Linked DNA regions of Styela clava. The protein of the gene in region 2 interacts with the protein of the main gene of each other region in a biochemical or structural test. Links are inferred from orthologs where the notes say so. Each region holds a gene or a part of one and is shown on either strand. Other genes may lie near its edges. The genes, in order: serine-protein kinase ATM-like, replication protein A 32 kDa subunit-A-like, E3 ubiquitin-protein ligase rfwd3.L-like and cyclin-dependent kinase 1-like.

What was found.
Region 1: of the proteins of replication protein A 32 kDa subunit-A-like (region 2) and serine-protein kinase ATM-like, one has a biochemical effect on the other in vitro, tested with the Homo sapiens proteins (3 studies listed by BioGRID). The link is inferred for Styela clava from reciprocal best matches to the Homo sapiens genes RPA2 and ATM.
Region 3: the proteins of replication protein A 32 kDa subunit-A-like (region 2) and E3 ubiquitin-protein ligase rfwd3.L-like form a complex in vitro, tested with the Homo sapiens proteins (3 studies listed by BioGRID, with this or other methods). The link is inferred for Styela clava from reciprocal best matches to the Homo sapiens genes RPA2 and RFWD3.
Region 4: of the proteins of replication protein A 32 kDa subunit-A-like (region 2) and cyclin-dependent kinase 1-like, one has a biochemical effect on the other in vitro, tested with the Homo sapiens proteins (2 studies listed by BioGRID). The link is inferred for Styela clava from reciprocal best matches to the Homo sapiens genes RPA2 and CDK1.

The regions. Positions count from the first base shown.
Region 1 is NC_135262.1:13,263,081-13,269,925, forward strand, and holds the start of serine-protein kinase ATM-like, read right to left. Parts: upstream 3,025-6,845; 5' UTR 2,107-3,024; coding exon 1-2,106. Other genes in the region: zinc finger protein 862-like, read left to right, coding at 3,855-6,197.
Region 2 is NC_135250.1:25,185,016-25,192,196, reverse strand, and holds the start of replication protein A 32 kDa subunit-A-like, read right to left. Parts: upstream 3,026-7,181; 5' UTR 2,856-3,025; coding exon 2,837-2,855; intron 1,272-2,836; coding exon 1,171-1,271; intron 617-1,170; coding exon 515-616; intron 1-514. UniProt on the Homo sapiens protein: As part of the heterotrimeric replication protein A complex (RPA/RP-A), binds and stabilizes single-stranded DNA intermediates that form during DNA replication or upon DNA stress.
Region 3 is NC_135262.1:4,158,989-4,166,244, reverse strand, and holds the start of E3 ubiquitin-protein ligase rfwd3.L-like, read left to right. Parts: upstream 1-4,247; 5' UTR 4,248-4,289; coding exon 4,290-4,386; intron 4,387-5,093; coding exon 5,094-5,231; intron 5,232-6,113; coding exon 6,114-6,224; intron 6,225-6,855; coding exon 6,856-7,060; intron 7,061-7,256. UniProt on the Homo sapiens protein: E3 ubiquitin-protein ligase required for the repair of DNA interstrand cross-links (ICL) in response to DNA damage. Plays a key role in RPA-mediated DNA damage signaling and repair.
Region 4 is NC_135260.1:19,957,854-19,965,802, reverse strand, and holds the start of cyclin-dependent kinase 1-like, read right to left. Parts: upstream 3,008-7,949; 5' UTR 2,834-3,007; coding exon 2,797-2,833; intron 2,527-2,796; coding exon 2,370-2,526; intron 1,997-2,369; coding exon 1,873-1,996; intron 1,602-1,872; coding exon 1,431-1,601; intron 1,026-1,430; coding exon 862-1,025; intron 389-861; coding exon 247-388; intron 1-246. UniProt on the Homo sapiens protein: Plays a key role in the control of the eukaryotic cell cycle by modulating the centrosome cycle as well as mitotic onset; promotes G2-M transition via association with multiple interphase cyclins.

The DNA.
Region 1 (6,845 bases), on a different chromosome or scaffold from region 2:
AACAAAAGAATCATTGACTGTATCAGAGGAGATTGAATCCACATACTTGATTACATGACATCCATTACAGATTATACTTTTTTGACAAAGGCCCAATAATAGTTGGGCTATTTCAGCGGTGTCAATTTTATCTGTTTCCGATTTGCATGTAACTATGTTTAAAGTGGGCATTAATTTCGGAGAATCTTGAAGAGGCGTCTGACTGTAATTTTCAGATTTTGTAAAACTTTGTTGACGAGAAGAACTGTCAGAATCTTCTTCTTTATATCCCAAAATCCAAAGTAATAATAATACGCAAAGTGGGTCGCATTGTGACATCACACGGTAAGGTTCACAGTTCATAAAAGTGGGATTGACAGTCAACATTTGCAAGAGTGTGCAGAAGAAATTATTATCATCCTGGGTAGAATTAAGACCATAGGTATCAATAAAAGCTTTGACAAATTTCAAACTATGATCATTTGGTTCAATGTGTAAGTATATAGAAGACCAAAGGCTTTGTGTGTTCTTTACACATCTTGTTGCAATAAAAAAATTTGCTTTACATTTTCCATCTAATCGTACAAGAGTTGTGAGAAGATCTAGAACAGTGTTATTGATTACTGATTTTGTTGCTTGTGATAAAAAGGTGGTGGCGACATTCCAACAATCTTTCCATATAATGGCTAACTCAGAATCAAAGGATTTTAAGACCTTTGGAATGTGACATGATACAGTCTTGAATACAATACTCAAACACTTTAAACAATAAATTCCAATAATGTTGAGATTTACTTTTGTAATGAGATGCTGGAATTGAGCAGCAATTTTTAAAGCAACAGTGACATTCAAGAACTCCTCATTTCCTTGCAGTAGACAGGAAAGAATTTCCATCCAATACTGTTCAGCATTTGTTACCTTTTTGTCTTTGTCAAACGAAAATATTATTGAAAATGAACTTTTATCATCAAAATTAATCTTGTTCAACAGAAGGTCACCAACTTGATTGGGTGTTGATTTTTGACCTTTGAATTTCTGATTCAAATGAAGGTCAAACAGGACAGAACATGCTGATGCAGCAAGTTGAATACATCCCTTGTTAAATACCACAGTTCTATCTGTTTTCAATCTATATGAAAGAGAACATGATTGTTTTGAAAGCTGCATTTCTGTTCCTAATAAAATAGAAAACAGCTGTGTGTGCCATGTCGCATAATCTTTCGCGTATGCACAAGAAGAAGGGTCTATGCTTCCCCTAGGATGATGCAACGTAATCTGTCGAGAACAAAATTCAATCACTTGACCTAATGTGGACTCTGGTAAAAGATTTCCGATCCATATACATATAATAGTATCGATGCAATCTTCACCAAGTTGGCAACACGATATTCGGTAAGAAACTGCATACCATTTTATATATAAATTCACAGCTGTAAGGACATTCTCCCATATTGTAGGTGTCTTTACATTAGTTAAACCTTTTATCACATTAACAAAAATTGAATGTAGATTGTGATAACTACTAGGGACTGATTGAAGAACTAAAGCATGTGTTAAAGATCGTAACAAAACAGATGACGCAAACTTCGTTTCATTTCCTTCTTGCGTCAACTCGAGCATGCAAATCTTAAAAAGATTGTCATAAACTTCTTTCGTTAAATCACAGATGTATTTTTTTTCAGCCAGAATTTCTTTATCTATTAAAGATAATATCATCACACCGTAATTTAATCGAAACAAATTTGAATGTAAACAATTGATAAGAAAATTTAAAAAACCTGTTACTTTAATTCGAACCAAGTCAACATTTGCAATTTGTAGAATTCTTTTTGTTAAGATAAGTACATCTTGCACTTTTTTAATTTTATTGTTTCTTGTCGAAAGAGCCCAAGATTCATATTGTTTGGACAATGTCCCAGATTCTTTTTCCAAATAATTATAAACAGTTTTGAATACTTGATTCCATTTCCATCCTTTTTTGAAATCTGTTGATTCATTCAATCTGCTCACAAGTTCTGAATCTTCAATAAAAAGTTTAATCCCATTCAAACCTTTGTTTTGATCAGTTATTTTTGATGAATCCAGTAAAGAGCAATTATTGAAGAGTTCAGTCAACTTTCCACTCATATTTTTGTATTTTCACATGATACTGATACATATGTCTGTATGTAAATAACTGCAAATTCACAATTTAAAAAACAATAAAACAACTTAAATGAGTGAATGTGAAACAATGAAAAATGCAACATTTAAATATTCATAATACTGTAAGTACACAAGTATGTAAGATTAACTGTGAAGCGATACGTTGAATGTCTGAACTCCCTAGTATTAAAATTCCCTTTGTAATATTAATTTCTTACAGGTCTCAGAGTTTACTCAAAATAACTCATCCTGTCATCGGTACTGAAGAATATTGCAATAATCGACGCTACATACAGACATATCAAAATTTAAAAACTGAGCTCACGGTACTGGGTTTGTGGAATATCCGAGTCACCCGACTATGTAACTTTACTCGTATCACCGGTACAGTATTGAATAAGTTCATTTGAGAGAGAGTTTATTTCATTTTGTCAAACCGAGAAAACAATTTATGCACACATGAACAAATATCAAAAAAATAGTTTTCGATATATGACTGGGGGCAACGATACAACCTTTGGGGGTCATCAGGGTCAGTTGCCACCCAATTATATTAAATAAGCATAAAAATAACAGGTTCGTGTCAATATATCAATGTCTCTCACGATTTATACTATGTACAATATTTACATGAATTTACTATTTTCAATTATGGAAGCATTCTTTTAAATAATGGGATTTTGCACAAATTGAAATTATATTGCAAAATATAAAATGATCGAAACGAAAAAGAAGTGGGAAAGCAGGTCAGACAAGCTACCCCTTATTTGGGTAACTTGTTTTATTGAATGAATTTAAGTTAAACATATCAAGTGTGATTTTGAACAAGCAAATATGGGTAGAGTTCTATTCTACACACACTAGTGCAATGTAATCAGGAGCATGGGTTGAGCGGTCTTACTACTTACTGAATACAGCGCGAAACATTGCAAAGAGCGCAAAACAGCGCGAAACAGCGGAAAACAGAGGGAAACAGCGCAAGACAGAGGGAAACAGTGTGAAGCAGAAAAAAATTTTGCAATGAGTTCGGGGCACCTTGTTTTGAGTTGGAGTACCACGGCAGCAAATTGAAAACACAAAGCAGCCCCTGCTGGTGACACATTTTGGGTACCATAATTTAGAACATTTTCCATATGGATATGGTTGGCTTTGGGGTTAGGGTTAGATAAAAAGGAACCTCCAGAAGTATGTGCACCAAGATGGCGCACAACCTGCAGGCTTGCAAATCTACGCGAGTACGCGAGTCATACTCTAGTCTAGACTCGCGTATTTTGCCCTACCCGAGTCTAGCTATTACTCCCGTAAAAAACGTCATTACTCGCGTCCAGCAGTACACGAGAGTCCGAGGCGATTTTTTCCGCCGCCTCTCTCTCTTTATTCTTTAGTGACGTAAAATCGTTTGCGGGCGATGGTTTATGATGTCACAATAGTACATTACAGCGAAAAGCGAGGAATCAAGCACGGGCATGCCTCCAGACGACTTGGCGTTGGCGAATGCAGAATGTTCCCTTGTAATAAGGCAGACTGCGAATGCGTATTATGAATTTAATAGAAGTGTTGCAGACTAACAAAGATGAGATGTCGGTGAGACTAGGGCTAGTGTAATTAATTAGTTATATTAACGGCTGTTTTGTTGTAAATTACCGGTAAAAGGGTATTTTTGCGTAACACCGTTTTTTGTTTGTTTAAAAATACCACAGGAGATATTATAAATTGTATGATTAGAGTAAATGGAGGAAAAATCAAGGTCCGTCTCTGTAGCGGCCTGGAAGTTTTGGCCAAACAGATTAAAGGACAGTTTTACGTTCGGTTTCAACGAAGATAATACCAAAGTCGTACATGCAGCATGCATTGTATGCAAAAAACATTGTGACAGAATACAGCGCGGCTATGGAGGCAAAGTTGTTAATGATGTGACGACTTACGGGGAGAATGGCACCATATGGATTTTAAGATATAATTTAGAACGACACCTCAATTCCGAGGGCCACTTAAAGTGTGTCGAAATTGAGAATGGGAAGCTCCCGACGCAAACAAGTATCGCTCGCTTATGGGGCTGCCAAAAACAGAGGGCGGAGAACGCCATAAAACCTCTTGTTCGTACTGCACTGTATGTCTCTAGAAAGGAACTGCCTTTCAATGCGTTTGCGGACTTATTACAACTGTGCGCAGACAATGGCGGCAAAATAACCACGTCATATGGTAACAGAGAAGGTTGTAAAGCCTTTATACATATTCTCGCGGAGGAGATATTGTCCTCAATAAGAAATGAAGTGCACAAAAAAGTAAATTTTTTTAGCTGGATGGTGGATGGGTCAACAGTCGTCAAGCGCAAGTTATCGTACGAGTCGGAACTAATTTACATAAGAATAGCGCACGAATGCAAACCAGCTGTACACGAAATTGACTTGATTTCAATGAAGGAATATGTTCGAGTGGACGCTAACAATTTGTACCACGCTACATTGCGCTCTCTGTTGAGTTTCCTGATTCCCGATATAACAACAAATTGTGAGACACCCATTGAAAATCTTGTGGAACTTATTAAGCCTTTTTCTTCAAAAATTATCGGGGCCGGCGCCGATGGCGCTGCTGTTAACTTTGGGCGTAAAACGGGTTTACTTAAAAAATGGGAGGACGTGTGCCCTGGTCGGCTAATCAAAGTACATTGCTATTCACATCGAATTGAACTAGCATCGAAAGACGCATTGACCCCCCATTTCAAACAAGTTATTGACTTCCTTATTGACATATATTATCATTTTCGGAATAGCCCTAAAGAATGGGCCGCCGTATGTAATGCGGCAGAAAAGTTGCAGACCGCGGTTGTTAGTGTACCAAAGTCGCAAGGCACAAGATTTGTGGCACACACACTCAACGCACTCCATGCGCTAAAAACAAATTGGATTGTTTACATACATCATTTCACTAACCAGAGGGAGGCTGAGTCAGATATGAAGGCTGAGAAATTTCTTGTTAATCTTCACAGCTTCAAGTTCTATATCCTATGTCGCCAATACGAGGATATCGTAAATTGGGTATCTGCCACGTCAATCGCAATACAATCAGATCATGACGGGTCATCCATTATTGACGCTATCAAGCAGATAAAACGGTTGAAAATGAAATTAACTTCTATGGAACTTCGCGGCGGTCCTGCAGAGCGAGAAGCGCTCGATGCTTATGACAGGGGCGACCTAAATTGCACTCCGCTTCCGTTCCGTTTTACCAGACACGAAGATGGTGGACAAACGAAGGCAATACGCATTACTTGTAAAAGGCGTGAAACACCGACCGCCAGACTCCTGGAACACGAGGAAAGCGTGGTTTTTCATTCTGCAGAGGAAACCATCATCCAGAGATCCCAAACAACAAGATCGCAATGCATAAGAAATCTGCGTGATTGCCTGGACGAGCGATTTACAGAAATAGAAGAACAAGAAAACATTTTGAGTAAGTTATCATGGCTGAACCCTGAAATCTTGATGTCGGATGGCGGGATTAATGCGTCCGTCCCTGAATATGGCAATCAAGATCTTTCACAAGTCTTTGAGTACTTCAAAGTACCTCTACACGCAGCTGGGTGCGAGAAGGGTGCATGCTTGAAAGAATGGGATGATTTGAAGTATGACGTCCAGGGAAATGAGGTTTACAAAGATTTGAGCACTACCGACTTTTGGCACAAGTTGCACCAGCGAAAGAAGGAGGCGTATAAAAATTTGTTGATCGTTGTCGAGTTAGTGCTTTGCTTACCATTCTCAAATGCTGTTGTCGAAAGAGGGTTCAGTTGTTTACGGCGAATTCTCACTGATTGGCGATCACATCTCGGACACAATATGATAAAAGATCTTCTATTAATTGCCACGCGAAAAGAACAGTTCGAAGACGGGGCCATTCGAGAAAATCTGGTCAACAAGGCTTCCGCCCGATTTATGGGAAGCGATGGGACGTCTGAACGAGGTCTCGTGAAACGACGTATAAATTCAATTTTAGGGGGGTTGGAAACGGCAAAGCCCAGCTTGGTACAGCCTCAACTAATAAACATCGACGATAGCTCGTCGGAAGAAGACTAAAACTGTGATATGTGAACCTGAAAGCGTCACACGCATTTCTTTGTTCGTCGACACAATTTCTAACCTTTCTTTTTATACATTTTAAATGATGCGAAGTCGACGGGCGGCGATTAGCGTTTAATATTCAATTTCGTTCTTTCTGTGCGATGTTTATTTTGCATGAACTCATCTGCTACATGCGAACTTATTTTATAGATTTCAGTTTGTACGGCAAATGTCAGACTGCACGAATGGTTTTGTTTATTAAAAAAAAAAAAACAGGCGATGGCAACGGCGACTGCCGTTTATTAAAGTTCCTCCCTTTATTTTGCAAAACTTGAGTTATTATTTTCTTTGTAGGGTAACTTGTTGAGAGTTATTCACATGGTTGATTACCCCGATATATAATTAGGTCATTTACGTCGTGCGGGGAAAACGGCGTCGCAGAGCACGCAGCTATCTTGATTAGTATTTAATGAGACGCTCGCAAGTAGCAATATCGCAGAACGAGGGTACCGACGGAGTAGTGTTTATCGAGCGAAAGTAGGTGTGTAGATAGTGTGTGCGTAGATATAATTAGACACATTGACTCGTGCCTGACTCGCGTAACATTTTCCTGGGACGGGAGTATATGTGACGTCACTATGACGTCATTGAATCTTTCGAATT
Region 2 (7,181 bases):
ATATTCATTAATGCACAACGAAAAATATTACAAGACCAAATACAACATAAGCATGCTTGAAAAGACAAGTTATACTCAGAAATGTGGAGTAAATTACAACATTACAGCAAAAGATGGAATGGCATAATTGAATATTTTCTATCTTGAATGAATTTTAATCAAGTATTTCGAAGTCAGCAGTAATGTAACCTAAGGTAATGTAATTTGTCAGAAGTTTACAAAAATATATTTGGAACTGGAAGTCCACGGAAAGTAATTTCTATTCTAGAGCAGTGGCTCTCAAACTTTTTAAACCGTGCCACCTTTTTGAAATTTGTCAAGTCTTGCGCCCCCCCCCCCTCCCCCTACCAACAATAAATAGCTAACAATAAACTACATATACATATTACTTTTACTGTCTATGCTGCCCTTGTGGGGCGCGCCCCACTGTTTGCAAAACACTGTTCTAGGAGACTAGTATTTGAGTACAGATTTCTCTATATTATTCTTGTTTTTCAAGTTCACTAATACATACCTGGCCAACTTCCAAATCTTCCAGGAAGAATCCGTTCCCATCATGTGTGAGAGAAGCTATATCTGATGTTGATAATGGAACTATATTTTGTGAACGAAATTTCTGAAATAAAGTTGATAATAATATGAAGCGAAGGCAATAAGAAAAAGGTTTCTTGATGGTACACTAAATTGATTTTTTGGAATGATCTTTGAGAATAAACTATTGAAGAAAAAAATCATTTCAGAAAGTCATAATCTAGAATAATAAATCCTTTGCAATCCAGGGATGATTATCTGTTTGCCAAACAATCTTTAGCAATTCTTCAGAATGTAGAAAAATCAATTTATCAAATCCAGTCAATTTTTAAAATGATTCTCGAGAAAAAAGATGAATGTTGAAAAATAAAATTTCAGTTTAAAAACCAGGATTCAGATTAATAATAACTTCTGTTAATTCTCAACAGTTACTTGAAAATATCAAAATATCATGTGGATATTTTAAAATGATCTAGAATAAATATTGGTTCCAAAACATTTTACAAAATCAGCACTCTAAATAATAATTTATTCGCAATCACAAAATGTTCATCCATTTCAGCACGTTTGCAAGAAAATCATTAACAAATCTTGACAACACAACTTCAAAATCAAAACATTTGTCATGATTGCTCTTACCTTGGTTTTATCTCCTCCAGCTGATGGTGATGAGAATCCACCTTGCTGAAATCCTCCTCCTCCCATTCCATCACCGTATCCCCCTCCACCTCCGCCGAATCCTGAAAACATAAAATTTGAGGAAATTAAATTATGACATATTTATCCTGCTTTGCTAATTTTAGATGGTAACCTTATTAATAATGGCAACATCATTACCACCCAATCACTTATCAAAAATTTAAATTTTCATTCTATGTATATTAAGTTGTATGGGTTTCTTGTTTGACAGTTTGAAGAACAAGTAAATTACAGCATTATCTCTCTGTGCAGCTGTGCACCAGTCTGTATTCCATAGATTTTTTTTCACTAGAAATGGAGCATGCAATTAGAAATTCTCAAATCAGATTTCCTGGCGTGCGGTTAGAGATCGCTGCATGCAAAACGACTGAGCCCGCGTGCAACTGATTATTACTTAAGATACTCTTCTTAAAATTCGTGTAAAATTATTGGATTAAAAATACGTTGAATCAGTCACAAAACAGTTAACCATTACGGTATCAAATATGTATTTTGAGAATGTTTTTGCAATTTGGTGGTTAAACACTCATTTAAATTTTAATAACGGTTATTTCGTCTGCTTACATGCATTTTTGCGAAGCACTAGCGTACTCGGGCGTGCACCTGACATGAAATCCAGTCCGCTGGTCTGGGATTGGCCAACAAGTCCACTGCCTGACTGTGTAGTCTAGGGTGGCTTACCCACTTTGCGGCCACGACCTATTTGCGACCGTCAACTTCATCGATTAAATTAATGCCGAAAAAATTAACAAACCGCGACGATATTTTTCACGCGTTATCGTCCACTTATTCTTCGTAGCTCTGCGAAATTACACTAAAATGCAGCCACAAACAAAAAAGTTTCGACCGAAAACACAACCGAGGAAAAAAAAACGGACCATTTTTCCATGTCGCCAACTACCCATTGTCCCTTTAAAAAAGCTTAAAAATTCATACAAATATAAGAGATAAAAAGATGAAACTTGGCAGGTAGAGTTGTGTTTCTTTCAACCATCTTTAAAGTTTAGCGTTTCTACATTTAAAGGAGGGGGAATAGGGGGTGCGCATTTCCAATACGTCGATAATCCTAGCCAATGTCGATCGATTTGCGACCACCGTGTTTTTGTCTGTTTGATTGCTGTGATGTGGTGCTTTGTTTATAATTTGAAGAGTTTTGTTCGAAATAACCGTGTTCTTAAAATATATGACGGTCAGAAATGCAATTAGGAGCCCATTTTTTCACGCATGGCTGCGTATGCCCTAGTCTCGGCGCAGCAGAAACGATGTTCAAGGCTTGAAATCCGTGTTCGCACACTGGTCGTTCGGTCGCAAATAAGTCTTCAGAGTGTTGTACTTTGGTGGTTTGTATAGCTTTAACCCCTGGTCGTAGAAAGTTTAGCGTGTAGAGGAAATGCCAATGCACCTACGGTGAAACAAATTAAAGGGGTTAGAAATAATGGTTTTTGTTTTGTAGCGGTTTGAATGAAATCGTCCGCAGACTGGCTACACCACCCTACTACCAGTAAAAATATAGGCTCAGAAATATTAGCCTATGTCAGTATGTTTTCAAATTTTCTTGTCAAAACTCCAAAATCTGAAAATTAGAGAACAAAACGAGGATGCTTACCACCACCCCCTCCAAACATTTCTCTATTTGGTCTTCACTGTCGGGTTGAGCGAACAAGCATGAACAGCTGAACGAACCAAGCAATATACGGTAATCCGGTTATCCAACGGTTTGCTCCTAAAGGTCAGAAACGTTACGGTACGTTACCCCAATTCGTGAATCATCAGACCAACACTTCTCTTTCTAATATTCCCTCCAGGTTTTCGCGGGCTCGCACTCTAGCTCCCTCCCGTGTGAAATATAGTTGGACTTCCCATGTTGGACAAATATCTTTCCAAGATGAATTGACTTAATAGTATATATACTCCATAATATATGACAATGAAGTTAACGTCAAATGCTAAATAAAGTGATGGGTACGGTATTTTCTATCGGTAGATAAAATGGTACGAATAGTTTGCGGTTGTAGGCAGTGGTGGGATTCTGCCGGTTCGCACCGATTCTATTGAACCGTCTCACGAAATTTTATGAGATCAGCGAACCGGTTAGCAACACTGGTTACTGTCAATGCAGAGCCAATGACTCTGGTCAATGTTCTGTTTGTAACAGAACCGGCTGAAAAATATGACTTTTGTGAAGAAACCGGCTGACAAAAAATTTGAATCTCACCACTGGTCGTAGGGTAATGACGACTATGGGGACGTTCTAACATTTTTGGCATTTTAAATATCATTTCCAGGAGTTTTTATGTGGCATTAAATTATTCTAAATAACACGAACGTTGTGTCAAGCGTTAAAAACATGCTGGTCATGAGCTCTTAGACCTCAGGGTACCCTGCTCACTGGTAGATTCCGCACTAGGTCTCGTTTATAACTTGTAAGATCATGTTCTAAAATATAACCAATTTAAAATTTTATATCAGTCAGAAACGGGTAAATTACGGCCCACTTGTGTCTGCTGAAATTACGACTATAATTTTTATGAAAATAAATTTCCGTTGAAATAACGTCATAATGACCCCGATTGTTACATTGTGCTTTATATTACTATGCAAATGTTTGCCTGACTGTTGGATTAACTGTTGTAAATAAAGAGTTTTTTAATCATGGTTTTTCATATTGAGTTCCGAGCCTCCGGCCAAGTCTATTATCTGTAACTGGCCCACTCAGCAAAGTAATTACCCACCCTTGAATAACTACTACAGTTTTTGTTTAATTTTTCATTCAGGTTCATAATTCTCGACCAAAATACATATCGTTCAAAAAATTAAATACGGCCGAATACATGAAGTTATCCTAATTTGAAAAATTCCACCCCTTTAACTTCATTTTGTGAAATGGTAATAAACTATCGATATATAGCTATAGGCTACTAATTTATCCAGGCAACAGCCAATCTGATAATTAATATATTTTTACTATTTCAGAGCTGTTTTTATCGTAGGTCAGTTTATTTTAAAAAAATAGATTTCAAATAAAAATGAGAAAAAATTTACTATTCAATCTACTTAGGTGATTAGCGTACGTATCTTGCGTGTAATTACAATTTCGTATTCATTCCAAGCTATTTAAAAATTTTACAGGGTCGTGGAAGGTCCATTACAACATCTAGATTCTCTACGACGTTGGTGTCATATAGCCTATGTGCCTCACAATGCTTTATTTACCATGGAAGGTAAAATTTTTATTCACTCAAATTGAAACAAAAACTTAAGCTAATAATAAAAGGAAAACACTTGGTCTAACGTCATTCCAATACTTGTATGGGAGTGCATTTTTAGTATGAATTGCATAGAAACACAAACAATAAATTCGAAATTTTGCTATTCTATTGCATGTACATAGAAGCCTATTGACGCACTAGTATGAATGTTAGAAAATTCCAGAAAAGTGTACAACAACCCTTTCAATGATATGTTTAAAAACAAAATTGAAAATTTGTCTGCAATAGTTAGGACTTGGTTTTAAAATAAGCAGATACGTACGTGTTTATAGCAAAATATAGGTTATTTCCGGTAGTGGGATTCAATTTTTTTTGTTAGGCGGTTCCATCACAAAAGTCATATTTTTCAACGGGTTCTGTTACAAAAAGTCATGGACAGTAGCCAGTAATGCTGACCGGTTCGCTGATCTCATACAGTTGGGACGGTTCTATAGAACGAGTGCGAACCGGCTGAATCCCACCACTGGTTATTTCCATTTTCAACTAACGGGAATGCTTGGTTTTAATTTTTTTTTCACACTACGTCATCAAACAACAAACGTCTTGTTAAACCTACCCAGTAAAATGTGAGAATGAATATACGACGAGAATGAATGAAATTTTGTAAAAAAAAAAAAATATATAAGATGTCAAACACACATCATAAACTGAATATTACAGACATATAGCATGTGGTTGAAATCAGGCTTTTTACGATTGAACTTGTAGATTTTTAGCATTATATAATCATGCACTCACGAAATATATATATATACAGAAGGTTTTGAAGCAACAGTATTGAATATTCTATTATTATATATACTTTATGAACATTTCATAATCCTAGATTGAAGTTTAAAGCAAGGATAACGTCGGATTTTCAATATAGAACCTAGACTTCAGGATTGTTTGAAAAAGCTATCCAAACGAAAGAAGCCCTACATGGGAACGACAGTCTATGCTATTTTGTTATACTTTCGTGAAAGAAAAAATATGAAAGTATCACAATAATACTGAACCCAATGAATTTCAATATAAGCTATTATCCGTATTCACAAGACTGAGTTGAACTTATTCAAAAATAAATTTGCAATATATATATTTGATTTTTTAATAACGCATTGAAATACAAGTAGGAGAATATCAAAACAGAAATACCTCTAGTAGTCACAGGTACCTTAGTTTGCGGCACTATATAAATTCCCACTACTTTATTTCCATCGCCCCCAACACCTGGGAACGTTGGGTGAGGGACCCAGGCCAAGAAACGAAATAGCGAAAAGAAATGAAGAAATATAGGGGTTTTAGTTGCATAAAATGAGTAATTAATTTAAACTATTAATTCTTATTAATGAATCTCAAATATTTCAATGCACATTCGGACCTTTACAACATCAGAGTATTTTTAATATTGGTGCGCATTGTGAAATAGAATGTATTTGATTAGGGCTTAGGCAAACGAATTCACTTTAAATTGAGCAAGCAGCTTCACATAAACGACAGAATTGCCAGATTTTTGTTTATTGTATATACCAGATTGTGTAAGCCGAGAATCGTCAAGGCCGGACATGAGTAAGCTGCGGCAATATTACGCTGTTTACTGTTTTGATGATGCCTCATATTTCAGTTCATTGTGAAGAGAATGAAATTCCCCCGACCGAATCCTAGCAGACGCATTTGAAAGACGAAAACGTAGGCGTTACGGATACAATATTTTACGCAATTTCCAGAGGTGGGTTTCGAAACGTAAATAACATTTTTTGAATAGTTTTTATTCTTACTATACACAGTTCAACAGGAGCATTATATGACGGAGTAGGCCATTTCGTTCTTTCGGTAGTCGTTGGAATCTATATAAAAACAGTAGTGGTACACATAATAAATTTGGTAACTACTTGTTTCTACCGCGCAAAGTCAGAGTTTCGAGGTGTATTTGTATATAAATGATTTTATCAGAAGATTTTTCTTTTCTATTTATTATCTTGTCTTAAGAAAGATTGCAATATCATCACATTTAGTTTTGTTTAGTTTAATCCACACGATATTATATGTTCATTCTATGTCTGAAGTGTGAAATGTCTGATAACTTAATTGTACTTTAGCAACTGTTCGCAAATTTGCATATATATATGTTTGCTCTTGACCAAGTCTTTGGATTCTGATCTCAGATAAATTTCAATAGACGGTTTAAAATAAATAACAAATAACAATATTAAAATATTCTGAAATCCATATCATGTGTTTTAAAAATACCATTGAGTATGTTAGCCTTCTAGGATGTAAGGAATAAGTTTTAGACTCAAATGTGCGATTAGATGAAAGCCGATTGATAAAATGCTAAACTGTTTATTAGCGTATTATCGGCTGGCTTACATAATTCAACTCTATTGAAATGAAAATCCAGAACTTTTGTGCTCAGGCGAATGGCCAAAAAAGGACAGTCCTACCGAAAGAAAATAGTGAGGTATTAGGGATGGTATTACCAGTGAAAGAACTTTCGTTAACACTCTAAATTGTCCGGTTATTCGGGTAAACGATAGTCGGAGCGACGGCAAAAACAATGCTGAACGAAATTGTCCTTTTTGGGGGGGTTGCCTGGCCTTTCATTAGTGTTATGTTAAATTAAAGACTTCAGACCATAAACAACGATGAGTGTATCTAAAACAGTTGTACAATAAAAACGTTAAAAATGTTTATTTCTGA
Region 3 (7,256 bases), on a different chromosome or scaffold from region 2:
AAGTGTAAGGATCACGGTTTATAAGAAATAATTTTGTGGATGAACCAAACATACAGATGATTACCCCTGAAATAGGTATCAAAAATATGTATGAATAGGTAGGAAATTTTATGGTAATTCAACCAAGAATGGGTCACTGATGTTTTCATTATGGTGGGTCTTAATACTATGTAAATAACCTATGTACTTGAAACTTGAGTTGTTCTTGAGTACTTCGGTATTTAACCACAAAATAATCATTTTGATAAACTTCCTTTTTGTAACTAAAATGCTGATTTTCCACGGCTTCTCAGCCTCATATATTGAAAAAAAAGGAACATAGAGGCAGCTCTGCACAAAACTATCATTCTCTATGTCAAACAAATCATTACCCTTATGGATTAAACATTGATTGATTATCTGTGTACATCTTTCATGTTCTCTTCATTTCCTGTTGTAGAGTGTTAAGTTTGGAAGCATAACAGACATTCAGTGAAGTCCTGTTTGATAGGAAATATTTCAGTTCATAAAATCAAACTATTTGTATTCATAATATTTCATAGAATTTGTCTGCAATTGTCAAATTGTTTAATTTATGGTGTCTTCGTGTTCAGTAATTTGTTTCTGTGTCTGTACTCTGGAGTACATGCTCTATTGATTTTGGTGGTTAGGCTCGCCTTGCAAAATCAAAATCGCAGTGTGTAATTTATTGTGTGTACTTCAAAAAGTAATATCATTTTATCTTCATTAAGTAAAAACCAGAAAGTTGCTTTCATAATTCGCATTATTGTCTTAACACTTATAGATGAAGGGATTGCGTCTTACTGATAAATCGAGCAGTTGCTTTCGCAGATTCTGTTTCAGCTTGTTTTTTTTTGTTAGGAAGATATCCAGCGCTACTATTCGTTCTATTTTTGAAGACATGCTGGCCTCCCTTTTTTTGTTGTTGAATTTCAAAACACATCCCTATTTATAAGTGTCTGTTTGTCCAACTAATAGATTGTCTGGAGAAATGGTAAAAACACCTCACAAAGGAACTCATTCAACCTCTTTAGGATCAGAATTTTTGTTCATTCCCATTCTTATTTTCAGAATAATAGTAAAAAATTGAAGTAATAGTTTGAACATCCCTAATTACAATTTTGTGTCTGAGTGTCTGCTGCTTAAATTATTTTACGTAAAAATACATGCCTGGTTCTCTCGTACCTTTACCCATTGTACAAACTTTTGGCCAAATATGGTGTTTTTTTTCATATTCAGCGATTGTGTCAAAATAATTACTTCTACATGAATGTTGTTCCATTTATTTCAATCGATATTGAGTTCCTTTTGTGATTGTATTTTAATTATTTCATTTGGTAAAATGTGTCAGAATTTTTCATTCATATGTTATGCGTCTTTTTATAGCCAACGACTTCACTCTCATGGATAAAATTGGTAATCTGTATCGACGAAATTAATCCTAATTATTATACTGTCCCTCCAGCTTAATTTTTCAGTTCCTGAATTGAGAGAATTATAAATCATGTTATTTCAATTTGAAATATTTTCTGAATACAATTTATTTTAATAAGTGTGAACGAGGCTTTGGGCCTCATGGTCAATACGTATATATGACTTGCAATATATAGGGTGGTCTTTAAACTTCTTAAAATCGCGAAAGGAATTTATCGATACCATATATTATTTTGGCCCTCACAGATATATCAATTGAAGTAAAAATACTTATTTAATAATTACTGATTAAATAACAACAAACCTGATTAAGATATATTGAGAACTGACTTCATAACAAAATTGAAATTGTAAATAGACTTTATGGATACCCTGTATAATTAAGAAATCTTATCTTCCAATAATCTTGAGTTGTTTAACGGTGAAAAAAGATAAACTGATTTGAACTGCACTTTATTATGTCTGGATTTTCATTGGCAATAAGAATATCAGACTCATTTATGTGGGAGTTGTTTATTTAATCGTTGAAATTAGGAGATTTTTCAGAAACTGCCTTTGTTCGGACTTTATTTTAATTATCATGAATGTCTTGTTATTGTGTCATCGCTAATTTCCTGATATAATGTCCTTCATTTAGCGTGTCTTAGGCTAGAATAGTGGTTCCCAACCTGTTATGGCTCGTGGCTCCCTTTCGGAGGCTCTTAGCAATCATGACCCCTCTTCATCATTTCAGTGATATTTGTAGTGTTATTTTGATTGGTAGATTCTAAATCCGATCATGTTCAAACAATTTATGCGCAACAAAGTGAAAACACCCTGTGAAATTACCTTGTCATGCAATGAAACTGGGAAGAACGCAAGGGAAAGGTAAAATCAGTTTTGCACCTGGTTTTGTGGCCTTTTTTGTTTTGCTCTCCCTTGGAAAGCCTCCAATTGGGAACTGCTAGGCTAGAATAAGTTGGGCCAATGCCTCATCTTTTTAACCTAATCCTTGATGAACAGAATTAAGATAACAGATTGGAATATTAGTTATAGAACAATAACAGGACCCGATATTTATTTGTCTTTCTATTTTGTGTGTCTTATTATTTCACTGCTTTTATTTCAAACTGCAACATTTTTTCGTTGTCAAATATTGAGTGTGTTTTAGGACGCATAGGAATTTTTTTCAGTCATGACAATGTAGTAACTGAACCAATAAATATTGCAGATTGATTTGATTATTAGAAATCAAGGTGCCACTTTGGTATGCGATCTTAACAGGTGTGAAGTCTCATTAATTTTAGTATTAAATTGATTTTAACACTGACATATGCAAAAAAATCCGGTTCATTGAGTAATTCAAACTGGCCCGCCCGATGCTGCCACAACCAAAGTAAAACCAAATTTTGATGTTTCAAGCTAAAAAATAGCTCAAGGAATTCGGCAATTAAAATTAGTTTAAGCACGAGGCTTTTTTTCTTTTGTAATACTGTAAATATAGTTTTACGTCACACTTACATGGCCCTCCAGTCTAGCTGGGCAAAACTTTTGGCCCGTTGTTCAAAAACCTTGGCCACCCCCTGTTCTAACCCAACGATGATAGAAACTCGATTCTATGAGGTCTTTATGTGATTTAGATCATGTTTAGCAATTGAGATCACGAATTAAGTAGTTTTATGACACTTAGATCGCATACCAAGGTGCCATCGAATTGCAAATGATTTGAATTAAATGTTGTGGGATTCTGAATCAGTGTATTTGGTCTATCTTGTACATTGGTATGTTTTCCTGATTACATTCTCATTACTTGTAGATCTAGCATGAAATATCTTGAAAATACAAGATTCTTTTAATTCAAAAATCAATTCATTTCATTCTAAAAGTGTAATATATTTAATTTGGCCATTTATTTATTATGGATTGATTGTTTCGTATTTATTCTTGAATGATTTAACTTTGCTTACCTGGTTATTTAATGGGCGTTGAGTAATTTGTTATTCTGATATCTATGTTGGATATTAGAAATTGAAATCGTCTCATGTTTCGTTGCAAATTTTTGATTCAACTATAATGTAGTAGCCCTATTCTATTAGTAATGAGTATTTTAGTCATAAAACTGGCTTTAATAATTTTTTTTCATCTAAATTCTAATATTGTTCAAATTATAACTTCCTTCTACACTGGGAGGATTCTTAATTCATGACGAGAGACATTTTCTGGGTAAAAAGTGACAGATTGATTTAAGAAGCTGACACTCTCAATGATAGAAGTCCGAAAAGACTTTCCATTAATTCCAACCTTAAAAATTCACTCAATCTCAATGTTTTAATCTTCTCAATTGAACAAATTTGGTTGGCGGAAATCAGTATGTCCTCACATAGAAGCTGACCCCCTAAAAATGGCCCCAAAACAGTGAATTTATATAAATTCTCATATAGACTGACCCTACAAATCGCAACACGCCGTACACACCTATCGCAGCAAATGGTTGCATGAGAGAATTGATGAAAAACATAATGCTCCCATAAGCAGAATTTTTAGTGCCCATATAATTTGGCCCCTTAGTTTGGCACTTTTTTCTTATAGTTTTAAATTCAACTTATATATGAAGATATATGGTATGTTGAATTAGTTCTTGAATCTCAGCCGCCTTTTTTCCCAGTCTCTTTCAGTGCGTGATAAAGCCTGTCTTTCATTCATCCATGTTCGTTGCATACATATCTATGAGAAAGGATTATCATGTTTTGTGTTTTCTTTTCTTGTGTATAAATAGTTTTTCTTCTAGTGCCAATGGTAACCACTCTGCTTTTTTTTTGTCAAGGCAGTAAAAATGAAAATAATATAGTTTCAAAAAACGATAAATATTTTGAAGTATGTCAGACTATGATACTTCTGATGATTGGATAGACTGGAATCCCAATGGAATTCCATCGACCGATGATGAAACAGATAATGAAGATATTCAATCAGGTGAATATTTTTGATCAGGGTTTTTCAAACCGGGCCCTTTCGGGGGCTACGTAGCGTTTCTTGGTATGAAAAAGTGTGTAGTAACCAACGAAATTTGGAAGTTTTGAATGTTTTCGATTGTGATTTTTTTTTTCAAACTGGGCCTTTGAGGGCAGGGTTTATCATCATATTGGTAAAAGCTGAAAATGCTGACTCGCATATGTGTGTCGTTGTAGAAGCTATTAAAATTTTAATTCCCTTTTTTGTTAGCAATGGCTATTCGTCCTCAATGATTAACCAATATGATGCAATGGCTTTTTGATTGAAATCAATCATTGATCAGACTCTTTTCATATCGTTGCGGACCCTTGTGCTGTCATCACCTACCCCCAGAGGTCCGCGGACCCAAGTTTGGGGAACCCTGCTCTAGGGGGCTACGTAGCAGTTCTTGGTGTGAAAATTGTATAGTTACCAACAATATTTAAAAGTTTTGAACCATTGCTGACTGTTGAAAATAAAGTCTGATATTTTAATCAGTTTTGAGAATTATTTTTTTTTTCTATACTCAGAGGAGTTTTTTGCCGAAATTCATGATATGAGCTATAATAACATATTAACATAAGGCATGGTTTATTGTTTTATCCAGATTTGTCTCATGTAATTTTTTCGTTTTGGTTTCATTATTTAAAAATTCTTATTTCAACTATTTTTTTTATTTTCACTTCCAGAAACCAGTGACACAGATTCTAATGTAATGTTGCTAAACCACGAAAGGCACTTACAACGCAGAAATGCCCTCCCAAATATTCAAGACTCAAGTGAGATTGATACTTTGGATCAAAATGAAGAAAATGTCATTTCATCAGGTAGTTGAATTGTCCGAATTTTATGTGTATTAGAATTTTCCAATAATTTATATATATTGTTAGTTGGGTTGCGCGAGACTAACTTCCTATCCTTCCTCTGTGCCTTTATGGTAGTGGATCATATGCGATAATGCAATGATGCTGTAGCAGGAATAAATAGGAGTATACAATGCAATTCAAAAGTCCTGCTGCACACTAACACAAATATAATTCTGTAACGTTTCTTCTGACCAAAACCATGTTAGTGTGCAGCAGGAATTTTGAATTGCATGCAATTATACAATATAGTCGGGCTGAAATGAAAATTTCATCAAATGAGGGGCCTAGCAGATGTTTCATTATACTATTATACTAAGTCCTAGAAAAACTGTCACTTTATTAAATCATCCGTCATGAGTTCACAAGTTTGAGCCTCACACGGATGATTTTTACTAATGGATTGCTGGAATTCTTACTTTCCAGTGATTTCCAAATGACGGCCCATTGCGGCTTGCGCGACGATTCAATATGACCTGCCGAACGTAGGTCAATTAGTTTACCAATTTATATATTTTTTTTTTTGCGTTCTAGATACCGCCATTCGTTATGTCATTATCATAGTTTAAAAATTTGTATATTTGTCACAATTCAATTATACCAGTATCTTGATTATACATACCGTATCGGCCCCTTGCAGGGGATCCACATTCCTGGCCCGTGAATATCCTTCAGATGCTAATTTTGGCCCCCGGATAATCAACTTTGGGAAAAAATGTATTAAAACATCTCTGTATTACTTTGACGAATAAATATAAAAATTTGAGACAGTTACAGATGGGAAACCTTACCCGATTATCATAAAACCCACTTTCAGTAAACTCACGCATTTCCGCTTGCTTATAGGTGAAGAAACTGATCACGAAGAAGAAGAAGAAAATAATGGTGAAGAAGATTTATTATCAATTGCAAGTAATGGGTATAGATCAGCAGACAGTCAGCTAATTGGACAGACAGGTATTCTTCAAGTTACAATAGCTGGAGTGTGTTCTCCGAGTTTAGAATACCAGTGTACTAATTGCAACACAAAAAATTCATTTTTTTACTGCTAGGGGGGTAGTATTGTTGTTGTCAGATGTCAGATGAAAATGCGCTCACATAGGCAAAAATCCATATTTTTTTTTGCGTTTGTCGCTGCGGTAAATCTTTCACCGTTTTTATTACTGTAAGGCTATCTAGGCAAAAGCCGTATTCTCTACTCTTGCTGACTGATGTACGGTACATTTGAACGGTCAGTTTGGCTGATGCTAAAAACCTATGCAAGAACTCGTGTTATGCAATTCAATGTGTAGATGGAAAAACTACTGTAATTTCTTTGTGGGGCCCAGCTAAATGTCTGAAGTTGATTAAATGGCCCACCGAGCTAAAAAATATGCTCGAGGAATTTGTTGAGATTGCGATTAAATTTAGTTTTGAGACGAAATTTTGTTTTCTACTTTTGCTTTTATAACACTGCAAATATTATTCATAAAATGTAAATTTTTACGGCCACACTTACATGGCCCGCCAGTCTTTTGGTCTCTGGTCCAAACACCTTGCCCAATCCTGATCTAGCTGAAACTTTACCAAAGCATTTTGATCATTTCAGCCCTACCAGAAACAACAACAACCTCAAGACCTCTGACCCCCGTGCCATCCACATCAACAAAACGTAAGCAATCATCACCTCGACCTAATCCGAGCCCAAAGAAAACGAAAGAATCGTCGTTATCTCAAGAAGAAGACGGAGATTGTTGTCCAATTTGTTTCGAACATTGGTCAAACAGTGGAAAACACAGACTGTCATCACTGAAGTAAGTGACATTTTTATTTATAAAAGAAATGAACCATATTTTTACTATCAACGAGTTATGCATTACACAATACTATAACGCCATTGGGAATTCGACTGATTAAGAACCTGGAAGGTTATCCAGCCTTGTCCTATGGCTACGAGTGAAAGTGCTGATCCCACCAGTATCTCAGGCATAGGGTTGGAAGCACACTTTT
Region 4 (7,949 bases), on a different chromosome or scaffold from region 2:
AGTCCACTTCTTGAGAGACTTTTTTTACAGGTAAATTCAACAAATTTATTAAATGACATCTATAATGACCTTGGGACATCTCACAGAGCCAGTTTCCAGATAATTGAATGAGATTCCTAATTTCAATGACCAACTACTTCATCATCACCATTCACCATAAGGTGTTCATGATGAACCATACAAATTGCATGTACTGCATGTGAAAGTACACGAAAAACACAAGTAAAACATATCTCATCTGAATACCATTAGCAAATCCAATCCTTCATCAGAGAGGTTTTTAACAGAATCCGCAATATTTCCTTTTTTCCATTTTGGGAATGTTTGTTTGTAATCTTTCAGCGATGTGACTCCGGGCCAATCATCATCAGTAGCAGTTCCCAACACTCTAGAAGATTTGAAAGTGTATATTGAGAGTATTAAGACATGTTATGATATTCTCAATACTATGCAGAATTAGGATTCAGAGCAGTGATGTCGAGCCTTCATCCTCACAGACCAAAACTAAAAGGTCTATTATTGATATTGAAATAGCTTGATGGCTTTTGACAGTTTCTACATGTTTTAGTGAGTTTTTGAAAGTATGTCATGAAATCTGAATTTTTTTTTCATGGAAATAGCAAAGGGATATGAAAATGAAGTTTTCCGTATGCCACTTCTGATAATAATTTGCATAGAACTTCCGGTATCGCTGCTCGATAACCAGCTCTGGTTCCCCGCGACTTCCCTTCCACAGTAAAACTGTGTAAACTATCATTTTCTCTTAATTTGTGCTCGTGTGGAAAAAATAAACTCAACTCAACTATATTTAAAATGGAGATGCTCAGAAAACCCATAAAATAACAAAGCTGAAATTCGAACCTGAATATTCGAAACAATTGATCAATTTCTGAGTCTCCATGAAACAAAGGTTTCTTTGTTGCCATCTCAGCAAATATAGTTCCAATACTCCAAATATCAACAGGAGTAGAATATCTCGAGGATCCCAACAAAATTTCTGGCGCTCGATACCAGAGAGTGATCACCTAAAAATAACAATTCGAATGTGAAACTTGGCATCCCATTCTTAGAACAGTCTGCTATTTGCAAGAATTTTATGAACTGGATATGGAGAACTTTGACTGTTATCAACATGAAGTATTTGGTTATATTAATAAGTTACCATCAGATATGATACTTTCTTTCCTATGATATCATAGTATTGCAATATCCGCACATATGTAAGATAATGATTAGTTCTTAATGTTTGATCTATTCTTGCAAAACCTGTCCAGTGATACTATCTATGGAAAGCCTATACCATAAGTACCAACCTAAATTAAATATGTTGGCTGGTAACCATTATGTCATATACGGAACATTGATCAATAAACACTTTTCGGAATAAGAACAAGTATGAAGGGGGATATGATAAGAGCAAAATTGAACACCTCATGCGTGTAGATTCGGACAGGGATCCCAAAGGCACGAGCAAGACCAAAATCTGCAAGTTTGATGATGCCATTTTTGTCAATCAATAGATTCTGTGGCTTCAAATCTCTGTGCAACACTCGACGCGAGTGACAAAATGTGATGCCTTGCAATATCTGGTATGTGTAACTCTGTTGGCGAGAAATGTAACAATAAAATTCAATGAAAGCAAAGCAACCCACGACGGATTAATATAGTTATATGATAAACAAAGTATACTAAAATGTCATACTTCATATAAGAATTTCCTCCTAAAAGCATACATGGATACACAGGCATAAGTGGAACTATTAACTAGTTGAATATTTATATAGCCAGCTTTTGTCAGCTCCCATTTCCCACATTATAAAATTAAAATATCCCTCCTCTTTTTTTATGATGTACTGCAATATAGATGATTACCTTTACCAACTCTTTGTCCATAAATTTTCCAGATGGAATTGAATCCATGTACTTTTTCAAATCCATCTGTAAAAACTCGAACACCAAGTACAGTTTGGACTCTTGCAAGAGGACGTCAAGCAGACTAAAAATGATAGATTACGCATTAAATGAAAATAGCAATATCCGAAAACAATTCTGATTACAAGTTGATGGTAATGTCACTTTTGATTCAAGCTGCGAACTACTTTGGCAGATACAATGCATCTTTAATAATTTACCGTTAATAAGAACAATGATTTATCAACATAATTGGACTGTAGAAAATTTGAACTTTGAATATCACCATGAAATGACGAAGGATTGAAATTTCAATCCAACTCCAATAACTCGAAGTTGAGATTAATATTAGAAAACTAAAACTGAATTATCTAATGGAAAGAAAAAGATGACCATATGACAGAAAGATAGAATTCAACAGCACACTTAAATAAAGTTTTAATAAAAGTTAGACAAACCTAACAATATTGGGATGAGCCAGTTCTTTCAAAATGGAAATTTCTCGAATTGCGGTACTTGGCACTCCCTCATCTTCACTCTCAAGACGAATCTTTTTCAGTGCAACATGCTGGTTTGTTTTCTTATTACGTCCTTTGTAGACCACTCCATAGGTGCCTGCAATAAAGTGTATATTTGTTTAACTAGAAACAACAAAATGAACAAATCTTAATACACTGATAATATAAATAATATAGATATATTAAATTGAAGTTAAGTATATATGATCCAAGGTTAAAGGTTCAAACTCTATGCACAAGACTGAGTAACCTGTAATAAAATTAATATATTCAAATTCTGTCTAGAAACATAGTGTGTTAGTGATTGCTCGTAAAGCGCTTGTTTATGAAGATGTTGGAAGCCTAAATGAAAACAAATATGTCCCACCTTCACCAATCTTCTCAATTTTGATATAATCTTCCATCTTGTTGGATCCGGCAAGCAGTTCTGAAAGTACTAGTTACGAATCTGATGGTAACTCGCTTATTTAGCAGATATATTATTATTAAGAACTGCCGTACGCACCCAGTGTCTGCCTAGGCTTCCCCAAGCTAATCCACACAGCAACAAAATTAGCACTTGAAAATATAAAATTAAATAAAAATTTATCAAAAGATTTTCCATTAGCTACTTAGTTATGAAAATGTAATTTTTACATAAACATTTTGTAACAAATACAGAAATTAAAACAAAGAGAGTATTTGCATTCAAAGACTGGTTAGCCACCTTATATGCTATATTAATATAAGGACAATTACATAAATAGCAATAGAATTGTATTAGTATCCCAGCATAAACTAATTTTGGCGTTTGTCATTTTATTGCCTTTGCTTTATGCGATGTTCAACTACTTCATATTGACAACCATACAAACTTAACCAAAGGTCACAAATATATGACAGTTTTTGAGGAGTATTTGTATGGATTTATTTAGATATATTTAACTTTTTTCAATGCTGTTTATGGTCTCTATGAATACAACGACAAACTATATTGAAGAATATGATTTTGAGCGATTATATAATTTGTGTTGTAAAATATAAGATTATAAAACTCTTCAATAGAAAATTACTAATTTGGTATCAGGGCACAGTTATCAGATTCCAAGAATGTCTCAATAGCTAGATAAACACTTATTTGTCGCAGAAACGAGGGGTCTGATATAGTTTAGTACCACATGCACTTCTAGTTGTCCTAGCATAGTATGACATATGCAATAATTTTTGCATATGTCAATCCTAACCCCGACCTGACTACATCACCGAAAAATTAAGTCATTCCGACGTCACAGTGACGTAATAAGGCCCACCGAAGTATGCGAATGGTCGTCCAAAACGCGCAAACAATCACCTGAATCGAGCAAGCTATTTCTCTAGCTTTCTCGTCGCAACGATCATGATTGGAGATCGCCGGCTGTAGCAAGTTCGTTATGAACGGCGCAGATGTCATTTCGGGCGATGCCATTGCTATGATAAAATTTTTTTCAGCCAATATTTTTTAAAAAGGACTCTGATAGAAGACATTTTTAGATTTTTTTTTTTCAGTTTATTACAGAGTATCGATTTGCTAATCTTGAGGTGATACCGGTATGGCAGTATGGAGTGCCAACGCTGTCAGGATGTCTCGTATAGGAGGGGTTTGTATTCAACGTTATTATTGATGTCTTTAAATATAGCGGCTAGTCTTGGAATTGGAGGACTGTGCAGTATTTTGAATAAGCACCATTCAATTGTTGCTTTTTGGTTTTTTGTGTTATGAATACTGTAAATATTAACCGCTTGGCAAAATCAAATTAGAATTTTTTTTCGACTGTTATTGTTAATAGCAAATATTGATATGATATGTAGTTTAAATAATATAACAGAGACCGGGAGACGTGGTTCCACAAACACTAAAAATAAACGGATGATATAATGCAGTAATGACTGAATCTGAATGGAAGGCGGATATACCTTGCGAGAGATAACAAGAGTTATCTGCTTTAGTGGCATTTTGATTGCCACATATACAGTTCATAGAAGAGTAATCACCATATTTTCAGGAAGAAAAACACATCAATACTTTCCTTTGACATGCGGACATGATACACAAGAGAAATATTTTTGTCTTTGCTCTTAACATATTTCTGTATTTCTTTAAATACTGGTAGTACCGGTAGCCTATATATATATTATGCCACTATAGTCTACCTTTATAAAATCACTAATAAAGTGGAACACCGAAATCCAGTCAATATTTCATTTAAATTCAGAAATTAGACGTCACCTGACTGCTTGATACCGTAACTAATACTAGACCCCATACAGACATAGGATTTACATATTTATCCCGGGGAAAGGAAAGCCGATAAGACGGCTTATCCATATGGCGAACCATAGCCTCTCGTCTGGTTACCATTCCAAGTCGGGTATGGGATTAGTTATATTGTTTGTTTTCGGAAGCATAGACTTGGTGGTGGAGGAAGCCGTAACCGACCAGCGGGCAGCGGTTACGTGACCACCCAACGACGACGACGAGTCCAGCAATCCTCTCGCACATACGGTAACCATCCCATAATTACTAGGTTTAATAAAATATGTTCATGATTCCAGATCCACAAGGTCATCACACCTAAACTTAATACAAGACTAACTTCGAATACGAATAAATCTCGGGAGTACAGGCAAAATAGAACAATTTCTGAATTTAAAGTCCTAAGACCCGCAGTTAGTACAGCACATTCGTAAATAGCGCATCGAGACTTCCGTCCAATCAGGACGCCTCAAGCCAGTGACGTCTTGTTTAAGTCAAATCAAAAGTTTCGTTTGAAACGCTCGAGTACGCAAAGCAGCCATGCGAGGTTTATGCTTTCTTTTAACTTTAAATTAACCGCAATCGCACATTCACATTCTGTGAAATGGTCTTAATATTTATATCAAGCATTTTGTTCATATATTATTGGCACACTACTCAGTGTGGATTTAGCGACGCCCCAGGGTTTGATAAAATAGGATAGGATTCTATTCATCTAGGGGAGGGGAAGGCGATAAGGCGCGATTTGAACCTGAGAACCCTATCAGGGTAATCAGAGGTCCTGTGGCAAGCGCATTCCCAGTGCTTATATGCATCACACCGCCGAATATTCGTATTTAGATAAATTATTTGTTTTCAACTTCGCTATTTATTCTGAGTATTTGTTTACCCATTTAGTAAATGCATCCTGGACCAGGATGAATGGTGGAAAATCAAGATAACCGCTACCGACTTCATACTTCGTAGACTATTAATTTAAAAAACTTTTTCTGAATTGCAACGGCATTATTGGCATTTTTGACTACAGTATAAGACTACAACACACTACAGTTTAATTCCGTCTACACTCAGACTATACAGTACTGTGACGACCCCCCATTGTTGCAGCATAATGTGCTTATGTGCATCTTAATTCATGATTGCAGGTTATTATACGAAAAGCCTAACAAAGTTCAAGTGTCCACCAGTAAGAAAGGGAAAGTTATGAAAGGCGCACATTCAACAATGAGTGTTATGTAAAATACCTCATTGTGCAACACAATCAAGATCTAGTTTGCCTGATTTGGCAAAGCGAACTCTGCTAGCTACGATAGCATTGTAGGTCAATCACGGGTTGACAAAATGCAGCAATTAAAACAGTCTTTGAGCAAACAACAAGAGGTATTCCATGATTACAAGGACACTGAGATAGTTACAAAACTGAGCTTCAAGATAGCTGAAGCAATTGCGGAAAAAGGAAAGCCGTACAGCGATGGTGAATTCATTAAGAATTGTTTTAAGATATTCATCAAAAATGTATCCACGGAGAAGAAAAATTTAGTGGAGCAAATAAGTCTGCCTCGTTTTACAGTGGCTCGACGAATAGACGATCTATCGGAAAACATCGAAGTTTCTCTAAAAGACAGGATAAGCAAATGCTCAGATTTTAGTATCGTTTTGGATTGTTTAATGAGTTGTTCGATGGTCTGACCCCCGGTATCACTATACTTGTAGTTTGTGGCCCATTGCGCAAAACAGTTGCACGCACCTGCTGTATACGTTTCTCGTGTTCTATTCTGCCCTTGTCTCCTTAATCACGGCTCAATTTTGACCATGTTTTGATACAGCCGCTGCTCGATAACCAGTACTGGGTTTCCGCCTTCAACCTGAAACGTGACCTATTTATAATTCATTGCAATTTGTATGCTTGTGCCTATTTGATGGTATAGTGAAAAATAAACTACTGATTACTGATTGCTTCATTTAAACACAAAATCCTACGATGTTATGAATCTCAGTTTCGCCGAAATGTTATGATTATGAGGTAAGTTATTCGCGATATGTCACACATAAAGATTTTTGCTACTCGTTGGATTCTGCGTCTCGGAAATCGCAGATTAGCTTCGAACAAGTATTGAAAAGCGTATCTCCCATAGACCAGTGGTTCCCAACCTTTCTACCCTAGCGGACCGGTAAAATTAAATGTACTCGCGTACCGGCAAAAAATTGAAATGAGCGGAACAGAAAAGAATATCATATATTCGAGTAATGTAATATCGGGCACTCAATATGCTTCTAGACAAAAGGCACACCTAAAAACATTTCACACAAAGAAAAAGTATATATCAAATAATGTGTCGGCCAACAATTGAAATGGGTGAAACATAAAATAATATCATATATTTGCGTAATGAAATGAGGTGCTATGCAACCATTATGCCTAAGAAAGGCACACATAACACACTCATTTAAAAAACATGTACAAACACAATTACCTCTAGTCAGAATTTTGCTGCTGTTTCGTTTCCAATATAGGATTGCAAACGAGGCCGCAAAGAAATTTCTGCAATACGTAGCTCTGCAGCGGCGTGCAGTCGACTTCCTTGCTTCGTTTTAATTCAAGCTAGTGATGAAAATGTTTTCTTTTCGCGTAAAGCCTAAGTAACTGGTTGAAAATAGGGACAACAGTTTGATTGCTCGATTACCTGGGCGATGGATATTCGTTATCAAGAGATATTAAAAATTGTGACAGTGTTTTTTTTAAATCTGGACTGTAAAGTAGAATCACAATTTTAATCAAGCTTTTTCTTTTTCACGAAATGAATTACATTACAATGATAAAGTCGTCGGTAACTTGGCACCAGTTTCAATCCTACTGTGCCTGCTGCTTGAGGTACTGGAAAAGATCTCAGCGGCCCATGCTTTTTTGTGCGTCTCGTGACCACATGCAGGGTCGCAACAAGTTCATATCTTACTGGAATAATATACTGTTCGTATCTGTTTTCTGGTTTAAACAAAGAAATACGGGGGCTCCCGAAGTATGCGAACCAAGATGGCGGACATCGGAATGTAACATGTGTACTAGGTTAGGGTTAGGCCATAATTTTAGGTATGAATGCTACGGGAGGCTCTTGGCTAGTCTTCGACCTGATAATAGGACTAAAATAAGGAAAATTGGAAAAAAAATTATCGCCTCACCCTAACCTGTTACCCATGTTACGTTCCGATGTCCGCCATCTTGGTTCGCATACTTCGGGAGCACCGAAATA